3 linked regions of the Struthio camelus genome follow. The protein of the gene in region 3 binds, or shares a complex with, the protein of the main gene of each other region. Links are inferred from orthologs where the notes say so. Each region holds a gene or a part of one and is shown on either strand. Other genes may lie near its edges. The genes, in order: CACNB1, CACNG1 and CACNA1S.

Evidence for each region.
Region 1: CACNA1S (region 3) and CACNB1 share a complex: the UniProt entries of both Homo sapiens proteins name them as parts of the calcium channel complex. The link is inferred for Struthio camelus from reciprocal best matches to the Homo sapiens genes CACNA1S and CACNB1.
Region 2: CACNA1S (region 3) and CACNG1 share a complex: the UniProt entries of both Homo sapiens proteins name them as parts of the calcium channel complex. The link is inferred for Struthio camelus from reciprocal best matches to the Homo sapiens genes CACNA1S and CACNG1.

What each region holds. Positions count from the first base shown.
Region 1 is NC_090966.1:6,438,907-6,448,665, forward strand, and holds the start of CACNB1 (voltage-dependent L-type calcium channel subunit beta-1), read right to left. Parts: upstream 5,904-9,759; 5' UTR 4,296-5,903; coding exon 3,639-4,295; intron 692-3,638; coding exon 605-691; intron 1-604. Other genes in the region: RPL19 (large ribosomal subunit protein eL19), read left to right, coding at 7,580-8,043, 8,551-8,657, 9,047-9,169, 9,406-9,526. UniProt on the Homo sapiens protein: Regulatory subunit of L-type calcium channels. Regulates the activity of L-type calcium channels that contain CACNA1A as pore-forming subunit.
Region 2 is NC_090960.1:4,233,818-4,243,576, forward strand, and holds the start of CACNG1 (voltage-dependent calcium channel gamma-1 subunit), read left to right. Parts: upstream 1-3,188; 5' UTR 3,189-3,457; coding exon 3,458-3,698; intron 3,699-9,759. UniProt on the Homo sapiens protein: Regulatory subunit of the voltage-gated calcium channel that gives rise to L-type calcium currents in skeletal muscle. Regulates channel inactivation kinetics.
Region 3 is NC_090965.1:2,385,897-2,395,655, reverse strand, and holds the start of CACNA1S (voltage-dependent L-type calcium channel subunit alpha-1S), read right to left. Parts: upstream 6,301-9,759; coding exon 6,140-6,300; intron 964-6,139; coding exon 858-963; intron 1-857. UniProt on the Homo sapiens protein: Pore-forming, alpha-1S subunit of the voltage-gated calcium channel that gives rise to L-type calcium currents in skeletal muscle.

The sequences.
Region 1 (9,759 bases), on a different chromosome or scaffold from region 3:
AACATACGGGGAGCTTTGCGGGATGACCCCCCCCCCACATCTATCAGGGGATGGAAAGGCTGGGGGGGGGACAGAGGCATTCGTGCCCTCTGAGAGGAGGGCACAGCCCACGCTTGGTGACCCCTGGGGCCAGGGCCTGTCCCAAACCTCTCCTCCAACCTCGGGGGGCAACAGCCATACTCCCCCCAGGCCAGGCCAGGGCTCGGGGGCTGACGGTTGCAGACCCCTCCACACATCCTCCGTTGTCCCCGGGGGACAAGGGCCATCGCAGCCACACAGGTGCCTGACCTCCAGTGTCCCAGAAGTGAGACCCAGTTCTGGGCCTCCAAACTCCCTTCCCCTGGGCCACGTACTGTGGCTCTGGCAGGGAGCAGTGAGCATGGGGACAGGACGGAAGAGCTGGCTGTGGCCAAACCCCCGGGACCAGCTCTGCCCCCTTCCAGCCCCGCAACCCTCCGCAATCAGCCCTGAAGGGGGCCATGCCACACTGTCCCAGGGATAAACACAGCAGCCTCGTCCCCCTGCTAAGAGCTGGACTGGGATGACCCCCAATCCAAGGAGACTCCCAGGACACCCGGCTCCCTGTCCCGCCAGCCCTCCTCACCTGCCGGACGAAGCTGTTGGACGTCGTGTCAGAGGAGGTGCTGCCATCTGAGCGCTTAAAGCGGCTCTTCCGCTTGCTGTACTTGCCCTGCGGAGAGGAGAGCCTGGTGAGTGCTGGAGTGTGCGGGGGACCGCGGCCTGCCTGCCCCCTTGCTCGGGGGGCCGCCGGGGGGCCGCCCCTGCCCCTCCATCCCCAACCACTTCCCCACCATGAAGGAAGCTCCATCCCTCTCCCGCTGATGGCCAGGGAGCTCACTAGTTCTCACAGAGAGAGAAAGGAAACTGAGGCAGAAAGCCGGGACAGCCCAGAGAGACCGCGAAAGAGGAGGAACCGAACGCCCTGCCCTCACGCACCCACAGCTTTCAGCTGCACCCGGCACACACAGCTGCAAAACACAGACCAAGCCTCAAACCACAGGGGCTGGCGGCACCGTCTGTCCCATCCCAGAGCCCCGCGCAGAGCACCAGGCCGACCTGCCGGGCGGGCGTCCCCGGGTACCGCGGCGGGGCTGCTCTCCCCCAGCTCCGCGTGCTGCCCCAGCGCGCCTTCCTAACGGAGCTAATCGCCCTGGCAGCTCATCCCCAAGCAGACGGGAAGGTGTAGGCCCCTTCTGCTGGGCGGGAGCGGGGTGCAGGGGGTGCTCACAGGCTAACCCCAGAGGTGAGAGCCAACAGGCACTGCAGCCCTTCCCAAGGAGGTGGCGCAAAACCTCTTTGGCAGGGGGAAACTGAGGCAGGGAGGCAGTGGGCTGGGGGCCCTGCACGGTGTCTGCTGTGCAGGGGAGGTTCAGTCGGGCCCATGTCCGAGGGGGAGGCCGGACCCTGCCGCTCCCAGCAGCTCCGGCTGCAGCAAGGGAAGCAGACGGCACGCGGCCCCCTCCTCAGGCCGTCCCCAGGGACCTGGCATCGAATTAGCCACTAGGCTGGGACTAGTCTCCATGGAGAGGAGAGGGAGGCCACAGGGCCTGATTGGATTTGCGGGAGAGCCCGGCTGCCTGCGTCTGGCTCCTCGCCGCAGCGAGGGGACAGCCACAGCCACCACCCCCAACACCGCTGTCCCCAATGCTGCCAGCCCCGGGGACCCCTGCAGCTGAGGCCGGCTGCCTCGGGGGCAGCTCTGAGCTCCTGGGGCTCCTCCTGCCCCAAGAACCTGACCCTGAGCTGTATGGGGGGAGCAACCCCACCGGTCACCAGCAGATACGGGGGGAACCATCCTGCCCAGGCTCCAAGCAGCACCCTGCGGACGGGGTGGTATCACCCGGGCAGGCAGCGAGGAGCCGCCGAGGCCTGGGCTGCTGCGGGGCGGTCATGCAACAGGCACCCCGAGCACGCCTGCTCACACGCGGGCCCTGCACACGCACGCGACGCTCCGACCCACGGCCCTCGCCCTTCTACAGGCACATCCCCACACCTCCGTCCCCGTGTCCGAGCCCCGCACAGGTTCATGCACGCACGCCAACACACGCGCCATGCCCTGGCAGCGGGCTCGCACACGCGTGCTCTGTGTAAACGGCTGCACACACGTGTGCCATCCACCACAAGCACGCTCCCCCCACCCTGGCTGACACCTCCGAGCCCCCAAACTCGCACCTCTCCCTCCCAGCACCCAGCCGGCTTGGCTGAGCCCACGGCTTCACAACTACCTGTTTGAACTAAAACCTCCCATTTCTGCCCCGTTTCCTCATGTGCCTCCTGCTGGGGCAAACTGGAAGAGACAGCAGCTGCCCCAGGGCCCCCCAGGCCTGGCAGCACCTCCTCCGGGGAGCCGCCAGGCCCGGGGGAACGCAGAGTGCCCCGCGGCTGAGTGGGTGCTGGGGTGCAGTCGCGGGGCAGAGGTGGGGGCAAAAGGCAGGGACATGCCGGGGCAGCACAGAGCCGCGAGCGAGGCTGTCGCCTCCCCGGCGTCTCGGAGGGACAGCTGGGCCCAGCTGCCACCCAGCCCGGAGATGCGTGGTCCCTGCACAGGGCAGGACCTGATATTTTTAGGTTCTTCATCCTCAACTCCCCCCGGCCCCCCGCCGACCACCCAGCCCCATCCGTCGCTCGGAGCAGGCGACGGACGTGGCTCAGGCTCAGCTGCAAATGTCCCCGGGGGTGGGTAGGCCAGCAGCCCTGCTGCCGGCGTTGGGTTAACCACAGCCATGCAGAGAGACGCCCTGGAAGCGGCAGAGATGTGGTCTGCAAAGCTGCTGTCCGCCCAAGGCCTGGCAATACCATGGGGCTGGATGCAGCCAGGGCCTGCTCCCCCCAACCCGCTGTCACTCCAACTCGCTGATGCTCCCCAGACAGCGAAGGAGGGGGGGTCTGTCCCCATGGAGGTGGCTGGCAGTGATGTGGGGAGGGGACAGCATCCAGCCAGACCATAGGGACGAAGTGCTGAGCTCCACTCCCAGTCTGGGATGCCCCCACCCCACATCGCCTGCTCCCAGAGGGACGAGCCAGAGACGCATCCCTTTCCCACAACCCCTCGCACCTGGGCTGAAGGGGACTGGGCTGGGGGGAGCTGCCACGCACCATATCTATGCAGAGTTTGCCCAAATCCTAAAAGTTTCCCAGTGCGCAGACACCTCCTCCCCACACCCCAGGGCAGCCCCTGGGCTGCAGACACCCAGCTCCCCATCCGGCGCGCTCCAGGTGGGCAAACCCCTTGGGAAGCGGTGACACAGCAAGCAAGCGACACAGAGAAAACCCGTCCGTGCCGACCCCAATGTGCTCTAACCCCTAACCCCTGCTGGGGGTAGACCCCCCCTCGGGGTACCTGGCATGAAAGGGGGGGATCCCACTTGGAGTCCCCCCCCAGCAGTTTGGCCATGAGTGGGAGCCACCCTATTTTGCCTGGTAGGGGCTGAAATCTCCTCCCTCCCAGGGCATGGGGGGGCCGAGTCACACCAATCCCCCCCCCCCCCCCAAATGCGGTGCCGCCAAGCCGGGGGGATCGATGGGGCTCGCCCCCCACCCTGTGTTCAGCTGCCTGCGGCTGTGCACGGCAGCACTGGGGCCGATCCCCCGCTTCCCGGAGCCCCCTGGGCTGTCACCTGCAGGGCAGCGTTGTCAAAGACGTCCATCTGGATGTCCTGCGTGGAGCTGTATGGGGTGCGGGCCATGCCGCCTTCCCGCACCATGGAGCTCGCTGGCGACAGGGGACGGGGCCCGGGCCTGGCCTCCGCAGCACCGGCCCCGCGGGGCGAGGACGGCGTGCAGGGAGCGGGGGGAGGAGGAGGAGGAGGAGGAGGAGGAAGGAGGAGGAAGGAGGGGGGAACAGCGGGCCTCCGCCTCCGCCCCCGCCCCGGCCGCTCCCACCGCACTTCTGGGAGGGACGGGGGATGCGGGATGCAGGCCCCCCCGCCCCGGTAGGGCACCCCCCAAACAGCACCTTCCCCGGGGCAAGAAGGGGAGGCAGCGGCTGGGGGGGGGGTGATTGGAGGATAGGGGGAGGTGGAGGATCCCCCCCACAGTGCGGGAGTCCTGCAGCCGTGCCCACAGCAGCTTGTGTGCCCAGGATATGCAGGCTTTCGCTCCTTCGCTGCGGGGGCTCGCTGCAGGGAGACGGGGGACACGGGGCCCTCGAACCTTTGCATGGCTTGAGAGGGGGTGCAAGGGCAGCTATGCCCCCTTCCCCAAACGTCAGCACCTGCACCTGGATGTGCCCCGTTGCGGGGAACCCACAGCTCCCTCAGGGCAAGTTTGCTCATGGCTTCTCCTAAACCTCTACTTTCTCCCCCTCATCCCATCCTCAGATCCTCCCCAGAGCAGAGATCTCTGTGGGGTCTCTGCAACCCACGCTCAAAGCACCCCATGTCCCCCCACATGGCCCATCTGCTCCCCAGGGGCTTCCATATCCAGATATGGAGGCATCTGCATGGGAAAAGGCACCCCAGGCACCTCGCAGCCACAGGGGGACGTCCAGGGGCTCATGGGCCCCGCGTGCAGTTGGGGAAGGGCTGTACTTGGCACCCTCTTGCCCCCAGTGAGGCTGCAGCTGCTCTGTGCTCTTGGCCCTCAGGGACCCGCGAACCAGCCCTGCCTCTTCGTGCCAGCCGGCGCGATGGGCAGACCACGTGTGCCCGCTGGCAGGAGCTGCTGGCAGGCAGTCTGGGATGCGCCTCACAGGATGTGGCCTCCTCCTTCCTCTGCCCCTTTGGTATATTTGTCCTCTTTAGCCCTGGCATCCCTGAAGAGCCTGTCAGTGACGGGTGCCATGGGGCAATCACCTCCTCCCTACTTAGCACTGGTCTGAGACCTCCCACACTCATCTCATGGAACTGAACTGCAGGAGCTGCAGCCACCGGCTTTCAACCAGCTGTTGGAAAGTTAAAAATTCCTCGGGATCCCTCCACCCCTTGGAACTGGGTCTTTTTGGCCTCCCAGATCCCGCAGCTGCGAGACAATGTGCCCATGGAAGCAGGACAGCTGACGCCACATTTTCCATTATTAGACCCCATCCATCACCGACACTGTAAGGTGCCTATGACTGCACCTCGGCACCAGCTCATACTTCATCTCAGCCGGACAGGTGGGGAAACGAGGCTCAGAGGGAGATGAGTTGTCCAAGGTCAGGCAGTTCGTCAGTGGCAGACCCAGGGGCGCAATGCAGGAACCCTGCTAGAGTGCAGACTCTGCCCAGCCCTAGGTGTTGCGCGTGGGTGAGGGCAGGAGGGAACCAGTTTGGACTTCAGGACTTCCTTGATCCCAAATTTGCAAGTTTGTCCATCCCCTTTGCCCGCCTTGTCCAGGGCCACACTGCTTTGGGAGCTCGAGCCCCCAGAGAGAGGCTGGTTTGGGGGAGATGTGGATCCAGCTGGGAGCAGAGGGTAGTGTTTAGGGTGCCCCAGGAGGCAGAGCTGGGTGACAGGGCAGAGGCAGCAGAAGGCCTCTGCCAGCAGGGAGCTGGGAAGGAGGCGGAGGGTGAAGACACCATCCCCCGGCAGCTGCGGGGGAGCATAACACAATTACGGTGTCTCTCCTTTCACGCTGCCAGAGCAACTCTGCTCCCTAGGCCCTCCCCGCTGCTGCCTGTGCGTAGGAGACAGGCGCTGCTAAGGACTCAGCATGCCAAAGCTGTCCCTGGCGGGTGGCTCACCTGGGGCAACCCGGTGCCTGCCCAGCCCCTGCCAACTGCTCCCAATGGATCTCACCTCCACAGAGCTAATGCACTCGACGAGTCAGTGCGGCCACCTCTGCAGCAGCGCAGGGAGGCTCTGCTGACACAGAGCTATGGACTTGCCTGTCCAGCGTAGGACGCAAAGAAAGGAGAGGGAGGATGAAGAACTGGCACATCTCCTCAGACCTCCTTGGAGAGCATCCCTACCTGGGCTGCTGCAAATCCAAGCTGAAACCTTCTCTCTTTGTATCTGGGGTCAGACAGGTCTCTTCATCTCTGGTCCCCTGGAAAGCACAGAGCATAAGATGATACTTCCGTAAGACTGAAGGACACACACACACATATAAGTAGGAAGGTATAGGCACTCTCCTGCCTCCAGCCCTCACAACTGGCCAAGTGACTCGTAGTGGCAGGTTCCCAGAAGTGTTAGTAGGCAAAATCCTGGAGCTGCTCCTGGGCCAGTAATTAAAGCCTAGCCACTCTCCTGTCTCAAGAGCCTCCAGATTTTGCTGTTTGTTTTATGAAAATGATGACTCAGTTTTTAAACAGCAAAAGCCTGTGTTTATCTGTGTTTTTCTCTCAAAATGCACCAAAAATCTGTTGCCATCGGCTCCTCTTCTCACGCCATATGTTGACTGTGTTACGTCCGCCAGATCCAAAATGATTTGTTAGCATCTTATCTTGGGTGTTTAACAAGGAGCCTTTGGGGACAAGTGGGGGACAACTTTCCAGGCACTTGCAACCTTCAGCAGTTTAAAGGGAGGAGGGAAAAAAACAAATACAAAATTACAAATCTGGGCATTATTTAACATCTGGGTTGTTAGAAAGTGACATTTGTGCTGCACCAGTTTGCTTTAAAGTGGAATTTCAGTCACATTCTTTATTGCATTAAAGAAATCCCTACATTTTTTTTTTTTATACCAGTTACAACGTATATACTATCATTTTGCAAGCTCTTCCTTTTTCCAGGAACTCTTAAACAATCTGTTCCTGGAGAGGCTCCAGCACTTTTCTAGGTCATTTCTTTGAGATAAAGGATGTCACTTGCCACTGGGCCCATTTCTAGCCTTACTAGTGCATTTTTTGTGAAGACACGTCAGGCTGGGAGAGATATAAAATGTGGTTCAGGCTGCCCGTGCCTTGGTTTTCCAAATGTGAAACGGTACCAGTGATACATTCAGACCTCGCTTGTGCTTAGGTTACAAAATGCTGGGAAGGCCAAACGTTGTCTACCAATACCAACCCTCACACCGCAGCCTTGTTAGTAACCATGTCAAGAGGTAATTTCATAGGAAAAATACAATTCCTCTCTTTTCTCAGCAGCATTATGACCTAAGTAATGACTGCAAAAGAGGTGGTACTTCATTCACACGCAGAAACGAAGCAGGAGGCAAGATCGCAGCTAGGCACTGCACTAACCTCTGGATAGTCACACCACCCTCTCAGCTGACTTCCTGGAGATAAAGGAACCACAGCAGATGAATGCTGAAGACACAGAGATCCCATTTTCTTGCTACAAACAGCAATATGAAAAACTGACATTAAATCCTTCCTACTCTATAACTTCCCAGGCAGGGTGGAGACGGCAAGGAGCGCACCTACGGCCTAAAACCACGGTCGAACCCGGGCTGGGGACAACTCCCCTCCGCTCAGAGGGCTGCTAAGAGGCCTTCAGAGAAGCCAGGGTGAGCTGCAGAGGGCAGGGCCAGCTGCAGCTCCCTGAGCAGCGACGCCCAAGAAGGCTGTAAGGCCTGAGGCGTCGCAACGGCCTCTCCACTGACCCCAAAAGAGAAAGACCCGCAGGAAAAGGGGCTTCTCCACAGGCAACAAGGAGCTCTCAGCAACCTCGGAGCCCTGCCCGGGCAGCCCCAGGGCATGCCCGTGCTCCTCCGGCCCAGCCTGCCTCGGGCCCAGCCGTGTCCAGGCCCCATTTATCCCAGTTTCACCCCCACCCCTCACCTGCACCCTGCACCCACCCCCTACCCCGCTCCCGGCCACCGCGCATGCGCGCAACCCGCCCGGCACCCCGCCACTGCGCAGGCGCGGCGTGCCTCGGCCTGTACCACGCCGTGGGAGGAGGGGGGGGGCAGAAAACACATCTCTTCCCCCAAACCTCGAGTGGGTTCAGACCCTCCCCTCCGCCGCTTCTCCCCCACCCGAGACCGGGCCGTAGCTCTTTTCCCGCCCCGCTTTGGGCCGCCCCACGGTTGCGGGGACGGAGCGGGGCGGGGGGGGCGGAGCGGGGTGGTACGTGCCGAGCGCCCGTCGCGCTGGCTGTGGGCGCGGCCGGGCCTGCTGCCTCTTCCTCTCCGCGCGGGTGCCGGCGCCGCCGCCATGAGGTGAGCGGCGGGGCGCTCCGCCGCCGTCCGGCCTGCGGGGGCCGCGCTGGCAGCGCGATGGGGTGGGTGGGTAGGTGACCGCGGCCACCCTCGCTAGCGGCAGGGGCTCGGCCCGCCGCGCGGGGAGGCTCCCGGCGCGGCCTGTGAGGCGGCCGCGGCCTCCTCGGGCCTCCGGGGGAGGCGGGGGGAAAATGGCGGTTGGGGCGCGCGCTGGGGGGGGGGGGGGGGCGAAATGGCGGTTGGGGCCCGCGCTGAGGAGGGGGACGAAATGGCCGTCGGGGCCCGCGCTGAGGGGGGCTCGCCGCGCAGAGCTGCGCAACGCTGCCCCTCGGCTGCGGCCGCCCCCTCCCCGCCGAGCAGCGCTGTCTCCGCGGTGCTGCCTGCAGCCGGCTCCCATCAGGTTGCGCTTCCTCGAGGAGGAAAGCTCCGCGCCGGCTCGAGCGGGCCTGGGTTCGGGCGCTGCGACGAGGCGGCGCGGTGCTAAGCTGTGCGCGTTGTTCTCCTCAGTATGCTCCGGCTCCAGAAGAGGCTGGCCTCCAGCGTCCTGCGCTGTGGCAAAAAGAAGGTCTGGCTGGATCCTAACGAAACCAACGAGATCGCTAATGCCAACTCTCGTAAGTAATGAGCCTCTCGGTAGTGACGTGGTTGGCTTAGGGGAGATGCTGACCCTTGAACAACTGCTGTGTGCTTCTTATCTTTCCAAGGAGACACGAGCCCAGTAGCAGAGTTTACAACGTTTCCAGCGCGCTCATAAAAACGTAGTGCCTGGCGACTTCTTGGTAGCGACTTTAGTATGTGCTAGCCACTAAAAATAACTAACGAGGGAGAAACGGGCTGGAAAACGAGCAACTCAAGCTGCATGAGTGGTCCTTGAGGAGAAGGTCTGCCTTGTCCTTCACGTTGGATCCTTTTCACACAAGCTAAATAGGGATCTCTCTTTGCTTAGCGTCTTTCTTTGCTTTTGTTACACATGGTATCATGAACGTGGAGTTTCTGTCTTTAGGTCAGCAGATCAGGAAACTGATTAAGGATGGTCTGATCATCCGCAAACCTGTGACTGTCCACTCTCGTGCCCGATGCAGGAAGAACACCTTAGCCCGCCGAAAGGGCAGGCACATGGGCATCGGTAAGTGCCGACTTCCCCCTGAGAACTGGAATAAATGTCTTTTTGCATGGTGTTTGGTTCACCTCCAAGCTTGTCTTGAGCAAAGATCTCCAGAGGTCTGGTGGCAAGGCCTAAAAACGCAGCTAGTACGTTAATGGTATCCTTCTCAGAGTAAAAAGGATTAAAGGCTAGAGCAAAGGGATATTGTTGAACTTGGAGAAACCTGGACATGTTCTCATCCTGTCCCATCTCTCCAGGTAAGAGAAAGGGTACGGCCAATGCTCGTATGCCTGAGAAGGTCACCTGGATGAGGAGAATGAGAATTCTCAGGCGTCTCCTCCGCAGATACAGGGAGTCCAAGAAGATCGACCGCCATATGTAAGCCTGCCATCCTAGTTGTCAGCCTTGGGAGCAGGGGTGTGGTGGGGAGAGTGTCCATGCACTTAGGTACACCTTTCTTGCTGCATGAAGCTTCTGCAGCCGGTTCATTGGTGTGGAGTATGCTGGTGAAAATAAATCCTCTCCAGAAAGCATGGCACTGGAAAACTGCTCCAGAATAACCCTGACAGTTCTCCAGACAAGCTCCCTTCTGGATCTGAGGGGGGAAAAGA
Region 2 (9,759 bases), on a different chromosome or scaffold from region 3:
GGGACAATGACTCACCTTAGCCTAGGTGACTTTTCAGCCTCCAGGGAAGCCTCTACATCTTGCACTGAAGTTCATCCAAGCTTTAGCTTGTTCACAGTCTCGGGTCCTCTCTGCAGAGGAGAGAGAGGGAAGGATGACTTTTCTCTTTATCTTTTTGCTTTAGTGTTTTCCTGGTTATTATTAGAAAAATAAGAACAAAACAAAACTGGGGGGAACTTATCCAGATTGTAGTACTTGAATGAGAATAGAAGACGTGATTCTTGCCAACACTGGAGGAGACACAAAAACCAGCAGTAACAAAAAAATTAATGAGTTCCCACCCTTTCAGTCCTTACAGCTTGTAATTAGTCTAAAGTGTGATCATTAGCAGCTGCTTTCTCAGCAACCAAAAACTTGGTTGCAGTTGCTTTCTCAGCAACCAAAAGCTTGCTTTGTGCCCGCACTTGAAAACATGCATTTCCCATGCTCAACTTGCTGAGGACCTGCGGAGTTTCTAGTGTCAAGGAAGTAAAGTCAAGATGCAACTCAAAATCGACTGATGTCTAGTGAAATTTAGCAAGAGTCTACTTTAAAAGAGAAGACATTACATTTTTAATGCATTCTTTTTCTGTTTTAAAGTCTGTTCCCTTTAGGCTTTTCTGCTTTCATGAGAACTCTTGGCTCTGGGTAAGAAAACAGAAATGTAAGTCTCCATAATATTTCTCTATGTGTGACATGATTGCAGTGGAGAGGTCTCTACTTGGTTGGACAGTCCTAACTTGCATCTTCCCCCCTTAGCAACAAGACAGAACGGGCTTTGCAGAACAGCCTCTTGGTCAGGTCCTTCTGAGGGCACATTTTAGTGCTCCAGTCTTGGATCTGCCTCTTTGCAAAAATAGAGAAATCAGTCTCTGTTACTCTTAGCATAAAATTTCCTTGCAAACTGATATAAACGACTCGCTCTATTCAGCGCCTTTCTCAGCGGAGCTGTAAGCAGGTGTTGTTTGGGACTGTTGTGCCTTCACCCTGATTGAGTCACGCTGTGCTCTGCCATGGGCTGAATGAGGGCCCGCAGCCAACCTACGCTGGCTATTTCCATGCTCATGGGTCCGGTTTCTGCACAGACTTTTTAAATATTTGGGAGTCCTAAATATGAGAATCCTTTCTGAATTGTGTGGCTGCCAAATTGTACATTTGTTCTCAAGACCTCTTCAGCTGCTTCAATTTGATCCCCTTTTATACTTGATATTCAAGGGTGGGGCGGTTTCTAACCTTTTTCGAAGACCAGCTCTGGAGAGATTTCCAAAAAGCAAACTCCGTTGGGGAACAACTCTTCAGGGAAGAGGTCACAGACTCGATTCAGACTATTTGACTCACTCCAACCATGGTGCGAAAGGGGCTCATACCCTGGCTTGTGCTGGTTTCTGCTAGCTCCTGAAACCCTATGAACATCGCAAGGGCTCTCTGATGGTTTGAAGCCCAAACCCTGCACATGGCACTCCCTGAAGGAGGATATGAGCTCTCAGAGCAGCATCGAGCCAGGGCAGAGCTTCTGGACAGCGTGGTTTCACTTCTCTACAGCTCGCTGGTCGCCGTCCGCGGCAGTGGAGCAATCCGCGCTAGTGGGCTGCAAACCAGCTTCCAACCCTTTTTCCCCCAGCTTAGCGCTTTCGATCAGCGAGTCTAAAGCACTCTGCTGACGTTTTACCAACCGCCGCGTGGTGAGCCAGCTTCCTTTGGACGTGCCGCTGCCCCCAGGTCCCCGGCCCCGCTCCTTGTCTCCTTCCCCTCCTGCCTGGTGGGTTTTCCCTTCGCTTCTTCCTGCGGCCATCACTGACAGGCAGATAATTCTTTTAAATCCTATTTCAGCTACAGTTATTTTGGATCATTATTTTTCTAACTCACTATTTTCTTTCCATTGCCCGCAGCTCCCTTCTGCCTTTAGTTCATTGCTTCAAACTGTCCTCCTTAATTCGAGACGACACCGCCGTACCTTTTATCTTGACACTGAACCGGGGTGTTCATGAAACAGCGCTGGAGTAGCTCTGCCATTATCTTGACACGATAACATGATATTTGCAGATTTCCGCTGACATTTTTCAAGCCATCGTCTTGACGTTCAGGTGCTGTCGCCGTCACCGGTTCGACATCGCAAGGGTAATGTCACCCCCACAGCGGCCTCGGCGTTGGCGTTATCAGGAAATTACTTTCCTGATCAGCTTAAAACATCAAAGGCAAGGAGAGAGGCCGGGGACATCGAGGCTTCGGGGCAGGGGAGTCGCTGCTCGGAGAAGGGGGGGTCTGCGGGCAGCGCCGCGAGGGCCGGGCGCTGGCGTGCGGTGCGCCTCGCGCCGGAGACGACGCAGAACGCCAGGGCTGGACAGAGAGGAGCCGACATCGGCCACAGAGGGCAGTTTGAAGGAGCCAGCGATACCAGTTACGATGAGCACCGAGGCAAACCCCGGCTGGTGGGAAACGAAGAAAGCGCTCCGGAAGGTTTAGGATGAGAAAAATGATTCAAAAGGCGCAAAAAAACAGGTGTGAGAAAAGCAATTTAGTGATTACGCCTTTTTCTTTCGGAAGAACCGGAGTGAGCTGTGAAAGCAAATCAACTTCACTCAGTAGTTCCCACTGTAAAACCAGAAAAAGGGTCGGCGGGGCAGGGGGGGAGAAACGCCAAACGGTTTTGTTCCAGCGGTCTCAAAGCACAAAGCGTCTCGCGCAAACTGATGAAATACGTACTTGCCGTACTTTATACATCGAACTTTGGGTATGACAAAATACAGCTCTCAAACCATCAGCGGCTTCAGAAGTGAACCAAACCGTTTTCCTTCGGCCTGAACAAGACATTTGGGTTAATTCAAAAAAATAAACGTTCTCGTTAAAAAGAAACCACCCCCCCCCCCAATTGCTTCAGCCACAGCCCGTTTATTTTCACCGCCCGCAACGGGGCTGGGGCGCTGCAGCGCCGTCCGGCTCGAAACTTCTCCTTACAAACGCTGACGCGAGCCCGAGGCGCGTTGTGGGCTTTGAGTCTACCCTCCCGCTATTTACAGTCAGGCCCAGCGCTATCACAAACCCACATGGGTGGTTTTTTTTTTCCCCCCCCCCTCTAACCTAGCCGAAAAAGTCAACCCTTCCCTTCATGCCTATTTCTGGGCAGGCTGCAAGACCGCAGTCCCCTCGCGGCGGCTCTAAGGCCGGCTCGCGGGCGACCGCCAGCCAAAGCCGAGCCCGCCGGCCGCAGCCGCGCGCCCCCCGCCGCTGACGCCTCCCAGCAGCTGCCCCGGCGGCCGCCGCGCCACCTGCTCGTCCCCCCCCCCCCAACCCCTCCTCCCCTCCAAACGCGGCAACGCTGACGTTTGAAGACGCTCGGACGCGCCGGGGGGGCGTCGGGAGATCAGCGGCCCGGCGGCTCCACGCCAGCGGGCCCGGCCAGAGGCCGGCTGGCTCGCGCCCGCCCGCCGCGCCGAGCAGCATGGACGAGAGCAAACCCCTGAAGATCCGGCTGACTTTCTCCGTCATCCTGGTCGGCGTCTCGCTCCTCTTCGCCGCCGTAGTGACTGACCACTGGGCCGTGCTGAGCCCCAAGGTGGAGGAGTACAACGCCACCTGCGAAGCGGCTCATTTCGGGCTATGGCGGCTCTGCACAAAGCGGATTTACGTGCAAGAGCGAGGCGCCGGGGAGAAGGGCTGCGGGCCCATAAGCCTGCCGGGAGGTACGTGACGGCGCTCGTTCCCCAGCCGCGCACAAACCGCACGAGAGAAAGCGTCAGCGGTGACTCCAGGCGGTGTTTAGGAGGTTACGGCACACGGCAGGAACAAAATACGGTGTCTCTTCCCCCCCCCACCCACCCCGGCTCTTAATCTGACAGGGCGCTGCACGCTGCTTCGCTTTCGTATCACCCTGCAAACGCCGCTCGCTCTCATTTCTCGTGCTGTGCATGTGCGCCGCCGCGTTGCCTTGCCCATGTATTTTTAACCATATTTTAAGCCGTCGGTCCCCTGCGCGGCAAAGGGAGCGGCGGGTAATCAGGGAAAAGGATCGGACACGGTGGAAATCACGGACTGGATGGAGGATATCGTGCCGACATCTGCCCAGGGTCCCACGGCACGCGGGCAAACCCACGCCACCTCCGACGAGCGTCGGCGGAGGGAGGATTTGCAGGACTGGGCCACCCTGTGTGGCTGAAGCAGGAGGGTTTCCTGCTTCAGCTGGCTATGAAGGAACAGCTTGTTCATGACAGTTATTAAGTTATCCACGGGCTATTTCAATAACAGTCATTGCTTGGGGCTGCGAGCAGGGCTGCGGTTTGCCAGCTTCCAAAAAAAGGCTGCAAACGGAGTTAGAAATGATTTGTCACTGCCTTCCTGAGCCTCCTTACCTTGCAGCGAAGGAAAGCCCGGGCTCTGCAGCTGAAAGCAGCCTAATCGGATGCATTTCTTCATTGCAAGGTATTCCACCGAAATCAATAGGAAGGGTGGCAGAGGAGCGATCCTAGCTGGTTTCCAGGAAGACCCTTACATTCCCGTGGTAAAAGGAGCTCGTTATATGTTTGCTGATTGCAAAGTCAGCAACATTCACGCAGCGTGTACTAATATACCCTAGCCGTGACTGAACTACGCTGCTTTTTGGGAAGGCTGATAGGGAACTGGCTTCTTTCCAGAACAGAAATAACAGGATTGCCTTCACGTTAGCCTCGCTGTTTGAAATGAAATATGTATGTTAACACATATTTGAAGAGTTCTTATGAAAATCTTGCTGCCTGTGTTTAGTGTATATTCTCTATGTTACTGCAATTCTTTATCTGTTTGGCAGAATTATTTATTCTGAAGCGAGGAGCTAGCCCGCAGCATTCAGATCTGCCTCTAGCCAAATTTGGGAGCGCGTGATCTGGAAACTTAACGTCTCTCGTGTAGGCGCTTACATATTCCTCGCTGTAGGCTTTGCTTTGCACGTGGACAAAAACTCACACAAAAGGAAAATAATAGAAATTGGTTGATAAATGCAAAATTGCACCAACTGCTGGATAAATATAAAACTCATAAATATCCAGCTGTCTCTGGAAAGCAGATTCACAGGCAGGGCAGCCCGAAAGGGGCTACTATCTTTGACAGACATCAGCATGTGCTTGCACAGACGTTGAATCATGTCCCCGCGCTGCCTTTCTAATGGGCGCAGTAAAGGAACGGGTAATTGTGGAGCTACCGAACCGAGCCCTCCACGGGCAGCTCGGCCACACCATGGGCAGCTTGTCCGGCTGGTGTGCTTTTGTGGTGTTGAAAGATAGTCTAGAATTTGGCTGAAGTCCTGGGTCAAAATAAGCTTCTGAGGTTTCCAGCAGCCTTCACCTTATGAATTACATCCTCACCTCTTATAAAATAAGAATTAAAGCCCTCATTTTACTTACACAGAGGACATGGCATGGTGAGGTGACCAAGAGCCCAGCCACCGAGGACGGCAGGCTGCTGCCACGCTGCCTTTGCAGGTCTCTCCTTAGGTTGATTTCCCAGTTTCGGAAAGATGTCAGCAGAGAATCACTGCGCTTGTGAAGCCTGCGAATGACCAAATGTGGCGTAAAAGAGCGCATAGGTGGAAATCAGTTTTCCTGAAAATCATGAGACATAATCAGACATTACTGCTGTCGGTGGAAAAGAAACATAAGAATTTATCACTGTATTAATAACCATTTACTAGTCACTCTTAGGAGGAAATGGATGGCACTATTAATATTATTTATTAGTTTTTGAGCTTAGCGCAGTGCAAAATGTGGAAGATGACTTGGCTCATAATCTACAAAACAGGCCTGTGATTTAAGCAAAGATGTTTAAAATTTAACAACACTCTTCAGAGGATGTTGACAAATTGGAAAAGGGTTTGGCATGCTGCTGTGAGGAATAAAAATATCAGGGAGGTGACAGTTAAAACTTGGCAGATTCAGATTAATGTAGGGACATTTTAAACTGTGATCGATGGACCATTGGAGCCATTTACTAAAAGGTGTGACAGAGACCTCTGTCACTGCCAACCTTTAACTCCAACATAGGTGTCATCCTAAAAAGCATGCTCTTGTGCAACTGCAAGTTGGGTAGCACGAGTGATGCTCTATAGCCTGTGTCTGCCACAAGCAGGTTAAATCATTCCTGTTAAATATATGCATCTGAATTCAGGCAGCTGGAGTCTGACAGGAAAATAACTAGAGCAAATGAGTTAACCAAAAGGGTGTCACATTCCCATCCGTACAAGAGACTCACCCTGCAAGACTACTATGAAGTTAAACTATTCGGAGCTACCATCTCCAAAACTCAATGATGTGTTTCAGAGCCCCTCCTCTGGCTTCCCCCAGCTTTGATAGCCAGGTGGAAACCCAGGGTCTAGCATCCACCATCACTTAGTCCTCACCTTAACCCTCAACACCTCCTCTAACCATGGCAGCAGGTCCTGTCCCCCATACTTAACACAAATGACAATCTCAGATTAAAAGCATCCCTCATCCAGATCTTCCTAACCTTCCAGCATGCCACAGATACCCCAACGCTATCATCCTTCTCGGGTTCAAGAGCAAACCTGACTCCAACCCCTACTCCATGCTGATCAGTGATGGCTGCCACCCCTTAAACTCTGCATGCCCCAAACATCTGCTTCTCTACCCTTCCTTCCTCCAGGAGGACTCCACATTGTGGCACTCAGAGGCTCAACCTCAGAGGCTCTTGTGTTACAGCTTCATCTTGTGGCTGCCCTCAGGCTCCCCATGGCTCTGCGTGGCAGGAGGGATTGGCTCTGCGGAAACAGAGGAAAGAAGAGTTAGCCCATTTCCCCACGCACAGAAGTCATCCAGGAGTCGTGGATGTGAAGGGAAGGGGCCAGGAGTGGTGTAAGCAAAGGTGACCAGGAAGGGGAGGGCAGTGTGTGATGAACCACGCTAGTCCTCTGAGTTCACACCTGCCCCTCAGGACTTCAGAGCCCCTGGACTGGGCAAGTCAGTGCAGTAGGTGACATCATGATAGATATTATGCAATTAGCAGTGGAGAGAAACCAAGATTGCCACAAAGTTTTCATCCATTATAAATCTCATTTTAAATCCTATCCATTATGTAAATGTGGTGTGACACAAATGGGCTTTTCTCTAATTCGTGATGACCCCCAGAGGGACTGAAGTCCCTCAGTTCTCTTGAATAATAGGGGACTTTGTTGATACAGATATTCCCAGCTTAGCAGAGCACCAAAGTGTCTTTAAACTGAAAACAGTATACCACTTCACCCCCCAAAAAAATGGTTTTGTTCTCCCACAATAACTGTATTTACCAATACGAATACCTTCCCAAAGCTAACTCACTTGTGTGATAACCCCATTTATCATACCTTTCAAGAGCTTATGCTTTAAGCCACAACATGCAGAACCAGCCTCTTTTCCCGAAGATGAGTCCCTTTCTGAAAGAGGCTTCCCAGCACTCCCCAGCTGCTGACTCTGCTTGGGCAGGAGGGGGGACTCCCTTGGCTCAGCCAAGCAAGGGGAGACTTTGGAAAAGCACCTGCTTGAAGACAAGGGCTCCTTAGCATGAGGATAACACAAATAACCATTTCCTTTTTTGCCTTTTTGCCTGTATTCTAGTTTAAAAGCAAGTACCACTGAAAAATACATCAAGGTGTGTGCTAATTTCAGACCCTTTGCCATCTTCAGGAAAGAAACAGATCCTATGCTGAACTACACAACGTCCTGTAAATCTGATTTTTTTAATGACTTATGCGTCATATTTTATTGCTGGGCAATACTCTCGCGGTGCCCATGTTTGTGGGTCACTCTAGCTATTCAAAACAGAAGCAGGAATGGTCCCCTCCACCATGCATGATTTTATGATGTTTCTAATCCCATCAGCGGAGACTCTCTGCCTCCCTGCTCATCCATCGAAGCGTTGCGCTGACCCACACTGAGCCAGCTGCTCTCAAACCAGGGCAGTGTTATCCACTATTTATCTGTCACATACATAAGTTATCCATCTGCCATCTACACAAAACTGTGAAAGTCACACCATAGCTGGACGTGTTTGACCGCTGGTTTTGTACAGTCAGCACCCTCAGGAATTCCTTTCAGTTCACGCTTTTCTCTTCATAGAATAAATTAGAAGCCAAACACGAATTCAAGATGAAGTGTGTCGGCTTCATCCTGTCTCCCTACCCTTTAGCACAGGAGTGAAAGGACCCCTGAACTAGCCTCCTATCACCAGCAGTGATTTTCAGCCTCAGCCACCAGCAGGTTGTTGGCAAAGGTCCGCAGCTGCCCAAGCCCTGCTTGCTCAGGGACACGTTGCTCTCTTGGGCTCATCGTTTGCAGTTTTAGTCGCAGATGTTTGAGGTCAAACATGTTTGCCCCAGTCATTTGCAGGGATAATAAAGAACCGGTCAGGAGATGCCAGAGCTGAACAACCATTAACCTAGTCTCAGACACAGGAGAAGCTGGAAACGTGACACAAGTCATCTTATGAAAATAAATAGATAACAATGCCTCGGAGGAATCTTTCACTAATGGGCCCCAAAATGCTGCTTTAGAATGTCTGTCTCCTTGGAGAGAGAAAATAAATCCTCCTTGAATCAGTAACTCTAAAATCTGCCATTTATGTGACAGGAGAAACAAAAGAACCCAAATGGTATCTTGTTGCCTCTAGAAATTAAGTGCTGTAAATTTTCCAAGAAGGAACCAGTTCCCCAGAGGTTCCTCTGTTCACAGCCGTTAATGGCCAGCCACTCTCGTGTGGTGGGCCCAAGAGGTGCCACAGCAGTTACAGAAATGTATTATGTTTTCCCTGGGCACAAAAAAGGCAGTGGACCCTACGCAGTCTCTGTGCACTAGGGACACTTGCTCAGACTTTGCCCCATGGCAGCAAACTTGCACTGCAGCAGCACATCCCAGCCTGGACACCACACAGGAGTGTAATGTGGAGCATACTCCGTCCCCCAGACTTATTCCCAAAGATTCGTGGAAGTTCACTAACTCCATTTGTTAACGGACAACTAACGGACAACGGAGATGCTGATGTTAACAAAGCGGCCACCAACAGTCATTGTATTTCATGCAGTCTTGGCAAGTTTCCCCTGTGTCCTGCAAGCTGAAGCACAGGGTGCAGAAAGAGAGGCGCTGAACATGTCCTCTCAAGCGTCTGCTCGGGAGAATAGCTCAATCAGAGCGCTGGCGCTGCTGGCGGCACCTCAATGATTGCACAATTCCAGCCAAATTCTTGGCAAGCAATTGTTCTCTCAGCTCTGCACCCCCTTCAAACCTTCAATTAAATAGGTTATAAATAGGGAGAACATGCTCCCTCCAAAAACAACTGCTGCCAAAACTTAAAGTCAATAGGTCCTCAGCAGACCCTTCCCCATCCTGCTCCGACACTTCAGCAGGAGGCTGAAAGCAGTGTCTTGTTCTGGATGCGCAGTGATGCGTTTCACAGCGCGGCTGAGGATGAATCCCACACCAGGCACACAGGCTAGCGGGCCCTTCTGCACGTCAGCACCCAGGGCCTGGCCACCCTGTCATACCATGTCTTGCAAAACAGACTGAGCCCCATACATTGATTGTTTTGTTCCTGCCCTGTCTCTCTTCAGAAAGAAAGTGCAGAGTCAAATGCCTCTCGAGCATGGAGAACCATTTTTCTTCTAATTTCCAGCCTCGAGACTTTCCTGATCACAGTTTATAACTGTTTGTTCTTGTATCCCTATCCAACTTAAATAGTATTTCTCCTGCCTGCTGTTTATTTCCACTCACAACTCCCATGTATTTATTA
Region 3 (9,759 bases):
GAGGTCCCTTTTTCCGCTTATTCTAAGAAATAAAAAGTAAGCACTATTTTAATGCCGTTGAAAGCCTGTTGAGAGGGAAAGAGCCAAATGCAGCTAAAAGAATTAAAAATTGCTCAAATAAAAATCTTACTTCATATTTTATATTTCAAATCCTTTGACTAACATTTTCACTGCAGAGTCTCTAAGCTACAGGCAAAAATGAGTGAGGTGTTTTTTTAAGTAACAAGGTGCCAGCAGTACTTGCACATAATCCCCTCCACAACACTGCGAATTCCTAAAATCAGCAAGAAAGAACATTTTACTATAAAAAGATGTATTTGGATATTTTGATTCACTACCCAAACTCAGACATTCAATGGAAGTCAATGCAGATTGAACCACAAAAGAGATCTGAAGATGAGAAAGCTGTGGTGAACCAAAAATGATGCAAACTATTGATTTCGATCACACCAAAACATCTTATTCCAGGCAAAATGGAGTGCCTGGAATAAACTAGAATAACTGATTGGAATAGAGTGACCTCTCTGCTTAAGCAGAGATTTCAACCTGCAGGTTGTTTCAGTCACTCTAAAAACCCATTTTGCAGTGGTTTCCCCAACACTGTGGACACTGCCTCTATCTGACTTTGCAGCATCTCTTGTTGGGCCTAAAAGGCCCCATTTCACCCTTCAGGGAAGCAGAAGCTTCTGGTACAGCAGATTCTACCATTACAGATATTACCACCACATACCTATGGGGAACAAGGAATCCTTGTGCTATTAATCTGCAGTTGTATATCTCAGTGGAAGACAACAGATTTAAGTGAGGAGGCAAAACTTTTCAGAGCTGCTGTGGTTGAGGAAGGGGCTGTGCCTTACCAGGCTGGAGTTCGCAATGTTGGTGTCATCCTCAGGCATGGGCAGGTAGATGGCCAGTGCCACACAGTTGGCAAAGATGGTCAGAAGGATGATGATCTCGAAGGGTCTGACAGGAGGTATTAAGGAATGGAGACACAAGAAAGGAACCAAAAAACAAATACAGCCTATGCCCATGTCCTGACCTGTCTGCGTGCATGTGGGGAAACCCCACAGGCTGTGAGTAAACAACCTCCCATTGGGGCAGGAAATCAGAGAAAACAGTCAAGCTTCCTTTACACATCCACACTTGCGTACCCTTCCTTGGGTCCCTGGGTACGGAGAGGATTTGGTAGTGATGGACCAGGATGAGACACAGGGCCTGGATATTTGGGACATAGCTGCTGGAGAGAGGCAGTGTTGGCATGGGATATATGGGAAGGGACGCAAATTAAAAGGCTGCAGTTGGGGAAAAACCAGGGGATGGGAAAGCTGGCAGTATCCCCCTCATCCTGGTGGGTTGTCCGGAAGGTTCAGGATCCTGTCCCAAAATGGAAGCACTTAGCCAAAGCATCACCCTTTGGAGTGTGCTGGCCCTAGCTCCCTCTGCAGTCAATGGCATTAGGGAGACACTGCTGAGAGGCAGATTTCAGCTGGGCTATGTCACTCCAGCTAGGAGGGGCAAGACAGCTCAGTCAGGGGCTCCTCTAGCAGAACATCCAGCTGCCCTCTTATGGCCTTGAGTGCCCCAGTGTAGGCAGCACTATAGTCTGGGAATAACCAGGGCAGTCAGTCTGAGCTTTGTCCCCCTCTCTAAAAAGGTGTATTGTATTGTCTGGCCCCTGTGGCATCTCCAAATATTCTGACCTGCTGTTCCCCTCGCAAGCCCTAGGATCACTTGGTCACAGCCAGGTTCCTGCTGCCTTCACTGGTCCACCAGGCCACTGAACTCTCATGGTCAAGCTCCAGCTATCATGTTGCTGAAGCCCTGAGAGAACTCAAACTTTGGCCCCAGCATCCTGCCCAGGGCATGACTCTAACCTCAGAGATCCCACGTCTCTGTTCCTCCAGCATGGTGCAAATCTACCCTGCAGTCTCCAGTGAGTGCAGTAGACATGTGGTTGGATAGCCATCATCTTTTGCTGTCTCTCATTACCTGACTCTGCATAACTTAGTCCTTGCCCAGAGAGAGATCAGGACAAGCATAGCACAGGCACCAGTTGTGAGAATGGTCAGAAAGAGTAAGGAGTGCTCAGGACTCTTCAGAGCCCCTGACTCAAAATATTTTGGAGTACTTTGACTACCAGAAACACTCTCATGCATATGCAATATTCTCCTATCCTTGGTGACTGATTAACCCCTGGAACTGGCCACTTCCAGGCCTTGCTGCAGAACTGAAGTGCCTCTGGGTCCTAGATTTGTGCTCAAGTTACAGTACCATGCAGCTGTGCTTGTGCCTAAAAGCAAAGGGATCTTCTCCATTCATCCAGTGCCTTCGTCCTGCCAGAAGACTTCATACTGGGCAGAGCATGGGGCAAAAAAGTACATTAAACATTTTCCATCACAATGCTCACCCCAAAGTTTCCTGACAAATAATGTTTCCTGATGTCTCCCTGATTCACTTGCCTTGTCTGCATCTATCAGTAGCACTGAAAACCAATGAAACGAAAAGCAGATGCAGGAAATGAAAATGTTAGTCCACGTGTCCACTAGGCCAGACCCACCCACAGAGTAAATCAACTAATAGTAATCAGCATATCCAGTAAATCAGCACATATCCCCTGCAGCCCCTTTTCCTCACCAGTGTCCTACCATGCAACAGCAAGAGCAAGGAGTTATGACCACAGCCAGCGCCTACCCCCACAAACTGTTTTGAGATCTCTCTCATCTCCATCCCCACCTGTAATTACGAACCTGCCTGTTTCATCTCCATCACTTGCAAACTGATAAATCTCATCTATTGGGTGCAGAGGCTTCCAAAGCACAAGATGGGATTTCTCAGCATTTTCATCCTACCTTGGGCAACCCTTCAAAGTAGCACAGCTCCCAGGAACCCCTCTGTGGGAACATCTACAACTCAGCCATGCAGACTGATACTGCTACAGAGCTCAGCACAGTCCTCAAAATTCAGTACCTCAGAGAGGGTCCTGCAGCCATACTGACACCTTCTCACGCCATAGTTAATTATGCTGAGGTCAGCCTTGGGCTGCACTGGCTATACTACTATCTAACCCAGCATCATGGAGTTAGAGCACTAAGGAATATTCTCTCCATCTCCATTTTGGCCTGCTGAGCTGACCGACTGCTGCCAGTTGTGTCCTCCTGTGTTGGTCACAGTCAGGTTATTTTGCCTTTTCTGGACCCTTCTGGCCAACAAATTGATGATACTTTAAAAACTAAAGTCAGCTGAAGAAGCTGCCCTCCTCTGTGCCCCAGGTAACAGAGCACAGCCCAAGGGCTAGAGATTTCCCTGCCTGCTCTGACAGGGTGAGATGAGCAGTCCACCTTGCCAGCACTCATTTCAGTTTCCATGTGGTTGTGAGGATGCAAGAGTGTAGGGATCAGTTCAGCATCATGGAGCAAGTTGGTGAAAGCAATGGAAAGAGGAGCAGGAACCGTGGCCCACATCCTGCCCCAACAGCCACTAAACTGCAGAAGTCCTTTTCTTGTTCCCCTGCTCTGGTGAAAACAGCCACATCCTCCTCCTTGAAGGGAGAATTATCTTGCAATCAGAGGTGAAGTTGAGACTCAGTGCTCTTCTATTATCAGGTTGCTGTAGGCAAGTCCCACATTGCCTGCCAGTGGCCATGAGCCTGGGACTGTTATTAGGTAGATACACAGTGGGACAATTCAGCCAGCCAAGAGTCAGGTACTGTCACTGAGGCAAGCGGGTCTCTGATAGAGTCCAGAGACTCAAAACCCTCCTCATCCCCTTGCCCTGCAAATCTCACTTCTGCTCCCTAGCAGCCTCCTGCCATGCAGCATTCGAAGGAACCAACTTCAGCTTCACAGTGGGAATTAGGCACTCAGTGCCTTGCTCATGGTCCCCAGACTCACCCATCTGCCTTAAAAGTCCTCCTGACTACAAAATGACCTGGAATACCAGCACTCTCCTGCTGCCTGAAAAGACCCTGTCCTAGCTCTTTGCCTCAGCTTTGTGCCTCTGACAGTGCAGTTATTATGCAGTAGAGATGAGGCCAAAGAGCAGAGATGTGTAACCTGATCCCATTCACCAGGTATCCCCACAGAAAATGGTCACACTAGTATCCATTTGGCAATTGGTCTGGCCATGAAGCTCATAACAACCCACAGGAGCTGGAACAACCCCGTCATGCCTTGTAAACCTTGATCCCTGAGTGAGGGGAGGCAGGTGCATTGGCATATAAATATAGCCAGGCACAAGAGTGGTGCTGCTGAAACCCGATGCCCAGAATCGTCCATCTCCCACAGGTCAGGACTACCCGCACCTGTGGCCTTCCTGGTGAAACATCTACCTCTTCCCTCCATGCCCCTTGCCCACGTCCCCAGTGTGGGAAAGGCCTCCCTCAGTGGGGCTCTGCAGTTGCTCTGGCATATGTTGGCCCATCAGGAAAAATGTTTTTGAGTATGCTGGAAGATATATATATATATTATTTCCAGCTCTACCCCTGCCATTAGGGTCTACAGACAAGTTCCTTCCATGCCCTGCACCCAGACACAGACACAGCTCTGTGCTGTGCAAAACACCCCATTCTTCAGCTGAAGAGAAGTAGAAATGGAGAATTCCCCAATTTTGGCTCTGCTGCCTCTCCGCAAAGGTCAGAGAGCCTCTTTGTGCCACATAGGAACAAGAGGGCTCAGACTCCATGCCCTGAAAAGCATTGCCAGGTGGTGTGAGCATGCTGTCAATGTCTGCAAATGGGCAGCCTGGGCTTTGAGCAGGACAGCATCAGTGGTGGTGCTGGCGCATGGTTTTGGTGCCCCTGTAGCACCACATATACCACACTGCAGGCAGTGTTTCCCACTAGCAAGGCTTGGCTCTGCAGCCCCCAGGCACAGGATGAAGGCTTGCTCTGGTGGGGTGGGGCTGCCCAAGCTGCCCTAGAGGGGAGAGGACCCTAGACTGGGAGAATCCCGTCAAGGCCAGGAACACCTAGATGCATTCAGCAACTGAAATAAGAAAAGTTGGGATGGAAAGACTGGATTTCCTGGAAATGCCCCAAATCCTATCAGTGTTAGTTGAGCCCAAATGTTTTGTTGAAACCAAGTGAAATGTTTCCTGTCCCGTTAAGGCAAAAATGTCCTATTCCACAAAATACAAGCTGTATTTTAAACAACCAAGGCCATGTCTAATGGACTAAAATTATTCCTGGATGGGTGGCAGAAACATGACATTTTGCCACTTCCAAGCTAAAACACCCCAGTCAAAGCATGGCCAACTAAAGAGCAACCATCACAAACCCATCCGTAAATTAAACCAAGGGCACACAGAGATACCATCTCTCTAAACAGCTTCACCCATGAAAGCCTTCACGTGTGACAAAAGTGGTGGAGAGGGAGGAGATAAGGAGATTGAGACAGTAACGGTGTCGGCAGGGATTTAGAGGATGCTGGCTAGCTGCCCACGGCCATGGCAGGGAGTAGCTGCAGGAGTGGGCAAGCGGTGACACACACACACAGCCATCTCAAGCAGCTCACCGTGGTCTCTGTATCCATCTCCCAAGCCCCTCTTTCCTTAGGCTGGCCTGTCCTCCCAAGCTGCATCCTCAGCACCTGCTCCTCCATCCTGGCCCTCCTCTTCTGCCCGGCCCATCCCAGCTCTGGGACAGGGCCCGTGCCCCCTCCTCTGACACCATCACTCTCCCCTTCTGGCAGACTGTCCCCTGTTTATCCTCAGCGCAGCTCCTACCAGCCACAGCCAGCACAAAACATGGGTATGCATACATTCCTTGCCACTCAGGCTGTCCCCTCCTGTCCCCAAAACACCCTGCTGAGGATCCCTATGGTCCACTCCTCAGCCCTATCTTTCCCACTAGCCTATTCGTGCCCCCAGGTTGCACAGCCGTCACTTCTGCCAGTGCACCCTGCTGGGGCTGCCCAAGCCCTTCCTTGCTTTTCCTTGCTCCCTCGCAGGCCTGATGAGACAGCCACCACAAACAGCACCACCATAGCATAAGCAGAGACAACTCACAGACTCAAAGTGTGCTGAGGACTTGCCTGCCTAACAGCCCCAAGGGGTCCTGCTCCAGCAAGCACTCCTCTTCAGCACCCATGGTCACAGACATGCACATGCAGGCGCTACCAAGCCCACCAAGCCTAAAGGATACTTCCACTCCACGATGCTGATGCATGCCTTCCGAAGTGGGTTTTGCAGGGTTAAGCAGAACAGAGCTCTGGCTGGCCGGGGGGCTGCTGGTGGCACTGGCTTCTTGGACTTCTCCTTCTGTTGCCTCTTCTTTGCATCATCTTGGGGAGATGCAGGCTCCATGGTGTTTCTCCCCTAGCTGCCTCTTCCTGCCTCACAGCCAAGTCCCCCTTCCCCAGATCCTGGCCAGCCAGAGACCCTCTGGGTCTTCCTTCCTGCTAAGCCTGTCCCTTCTGTGCACCGGGGGAGGTCATGGGGGAGTGGGGGCTGGAGGCTGCACACGCATGCACAAATGCACAAAGCATGAGTTTAAAATTAGACACTAGCCTGGCTCCCGGGTGCTGTCACAGTTCCCGAGGCAGCAAAAGGACCCCAGCAGCTGTTGCTTCTTTACCCGGCTTATCCTAAGGCAGATGAGTGCTTTGCATGCCACCGAGCCAGGCGGGGGGTGGGGACGGGCTGCCCAGAGTCAGGTGCACACCCTCCCAAGGAAAATTGCCCTCACCCCGGGTCACCTCTTTCCCCAACTCCCTGGGCCTTCCACGCCCAAGTAGAGAGACTGGGCTGGCTGGGGGAACGCATGTGGCCCCATCTGCTGAATTGCACTTCTTGGGTGAGAGGGAGAACCTGACTCTGGCCAGTGGGACACTTCCTCAAGGAAGGTCATCCCACAAACTGATCAGCCCTGTCTCTCTGCAGGATTTCTCCTTCATGTGGAGACCCTCAGATGCAACCTGGTCTCTTGAGCCCTTGGCCCTGTGACCCCAGGGCTGTGGTACCTCTGGGGATGGGTACGTCTCACAGACAGGAACTTTGACCCCAAACTCAGAGCTCCTGGGAGTGATGCTTAGCCCAAAGTATGCCTTGGCTGGCACTCATCACCTCAGACAGCCCCTGGTCAGCCTCATCTCTTCAATTCTGCTTGTAGGGCAAGGGGCATGCCTGGGACATGCAGGAATACAATAAGCCTAGGGTGGGCTGTGTCCTGCTCCAGGGACGTCTTGGAAATCCAGCTGGGCTTGAGAAAGCCCAACTGGATATACGGACAATGCTGGGGACTCCCAAGCTGGAGGTGTCAATGCACATAGGGACAGAAGGGGGTTTTCACTACCTTTTCACAACAAGGGAAACAGAGGCACCAGGAAGGGCAGTGCTTGGGGTTTTCCTGCAATCCAGGGACTGAGTTAGCAGAATAGTTACACAAATTTTCTTACTTACAGGTATGTCCCTCAGCAAATGTTGTCCCTGTCCTATGGAGATGCTTCAGCCTAATGTAACCAGACAGCTGTGCCCAAGTCAACCCGTGTCCCAGGGGGAGCTCTGCCCACTGTACCACACTGCCTTGCTCAAAGCTTCCTTGCCTCTGTTTTGCAGGGTCATTTCACCAGCTGCAGAGCAGGCTGTGCCGAGGGCCACGGTGCCAAGCGAAGACAATCATTCCCTCCTTTGTGGCCCATGGCAGGAAGACAGCATAAGAGAGCAACTCCTGCAGCTGCTCCAGCCCATTTTGACACTCCTGGAGGGGAGGAGGCCTCAACTGTAGAGGTGCAAAATCAGTAACCCGCCCTCTCCTACACTACTCTGCTGCATTTTATGCAAAAAAAATAGCCAGAGTCAATTTATTCCTGCCCAGGGCTCCAGCCTCATTTCTGTGTCACAGTGGCAGGTCCAAACATGCCACTGTTTCTCCTCTGGTCTTCGTTCCTCCCTCCTAAGCACTGCTGAAAGCCATGAGCTGTATTTCTGCTTCTGCCTGTGCCCCTGCCAGGAGCGCCCATTCCTGGACTGTGTCCTCCCTATCAACGACAAGGATTTGGGGTCCACCTAGTGGCGAGCCAGAGGGCAGGCTGCAAGCATGTGCTTGGCATGCTAACGCTGACAGTGGGCGCTGCTGCCTGGCATGGCGTCTGCCCCAACTTGCCCTAGGGCTGTTCTTAGAGCTAGGAAACTGTTGGTTCCTTCTCAAGAGGCCTCTGCAGGGGATGAGAAGAAACATCTCCCTTTCGATTCATGCTGCAACAGCTGTCCCAGAGGATGAGAGCATGGTGGGAGATCTGCTGCAAGCAAGGACCTGGAAAGGACACTCAAGGTCTCTCTGATCCCCTCCAGAAGCCTTCATTCACGATCTACTCACTTTTGAACTCTGTATCTCCATCCTTGGAGATAATCTGAACTAGACTGGGTAAAGCCCTGAGCAACTTGACCTAACCAGACCTACTTTGAGCAGGAGGTTGGGCTCAAACACCTCTGGAATGTGCCCTTCTAATGTACCTGATTCATTTATTCTCTTCCACACACCCCTCTGCAGCTGTTGGGAACTGCTTGCTGCCCTTCTGTGCTCTGTATTTTGCATGGGGCTGTGCTGACAAGCACTGACTTCACATGGCTTTAACAAAAACTGCCAGAGAGTGGTCCCTGCAGGCCAGGGCTCATCCTCCTCCACATCATCCAGGCATGGCACAGCTGGTGCCAAGGCCAACCATTTTTGTGTCTCCCATGTGACCTTAATTAAACTAACTTCAGAGTTAGACGAAAGCTGAACCCTCATGCTTTGAGACATAACAAAAGGACTGGGAGAGGGTGGGGAGCACTGCATAGTTACCTGCAGGGACTACACTTACCTTCCTCTACAAATCAGCCAGAGGTAGCAGAGGGGAGATGCTAGCTTGAGGACAGGGCTTTCCTGCTCCAATCCCTCTCTCACTTGCTGTGTAGCAAATCACTCTTTCTGTGATCTCCACTCAATGGATATATTCCTATGTATCTCGTAGGGGAAGGCTGCTTCCTCATGCAACTGAGGCCTCCATCAACAGGCTAGGGGCCAAGGCCAGCATGTTTTCTTCACCTCTTCGCTCTTCTTCCTCATATCTTTCACAAGCTTCATGCTCATCTTCTACTCCTTCACCACACCTGCACAAAGACATGGCGTTAGCAAGGGTCAGTGCCTGTAGTCCCAAACACAGTAAGCCCATGACAGAGCCCTACTCAGCTTGGAAGGAGAAAGGGTTAACATGGGAGCAGGGACTGCAGTAGAGCCACTCCACCACTGCAGCCAATCCCTTTGCAATAGCTGTGTTCCACAGGGCAGAGACATACGGCCTCCCAGAGGCAGAGCGCAACCAGATTGGCCCAGGCCTGCCAAATCAGAAAGGCTTTCCCCTACTATCTTGAAGAGCAAGGGATAGAAATGGTCCCTGCACTAGCCATTCTCAAGCAATATGACCTTGAAAGCAAACATCTCCTGACATGCACAGACATGTGTGTGTGCCCCCTGCTCCCAAAGGCTTCCCCTTTTCCCAGCCTAATAAAATGTACCTCCCTGCTTTGACACCTGGCTCCTGTAGGACCTAGACCTAGCTGTCACAGACCCTATGGGCTGTCTGAGCACAAGGCCAGACTATGGCAGGGAGTGTGTCCTTCTCCAGGACAACCACGGCTTTTCCTTCCTGCACGTGACACCCAAAGTCAAGGCCACAGCAGCTCATGGGGACCTTTAGCAGTGGCCAGAGTCCCTGCAGCAGCTCTTCCAATGTTATCCATGTGCTGGGGGCCCTTGAGGACCAGGGAGTGGGGCTGGCATGC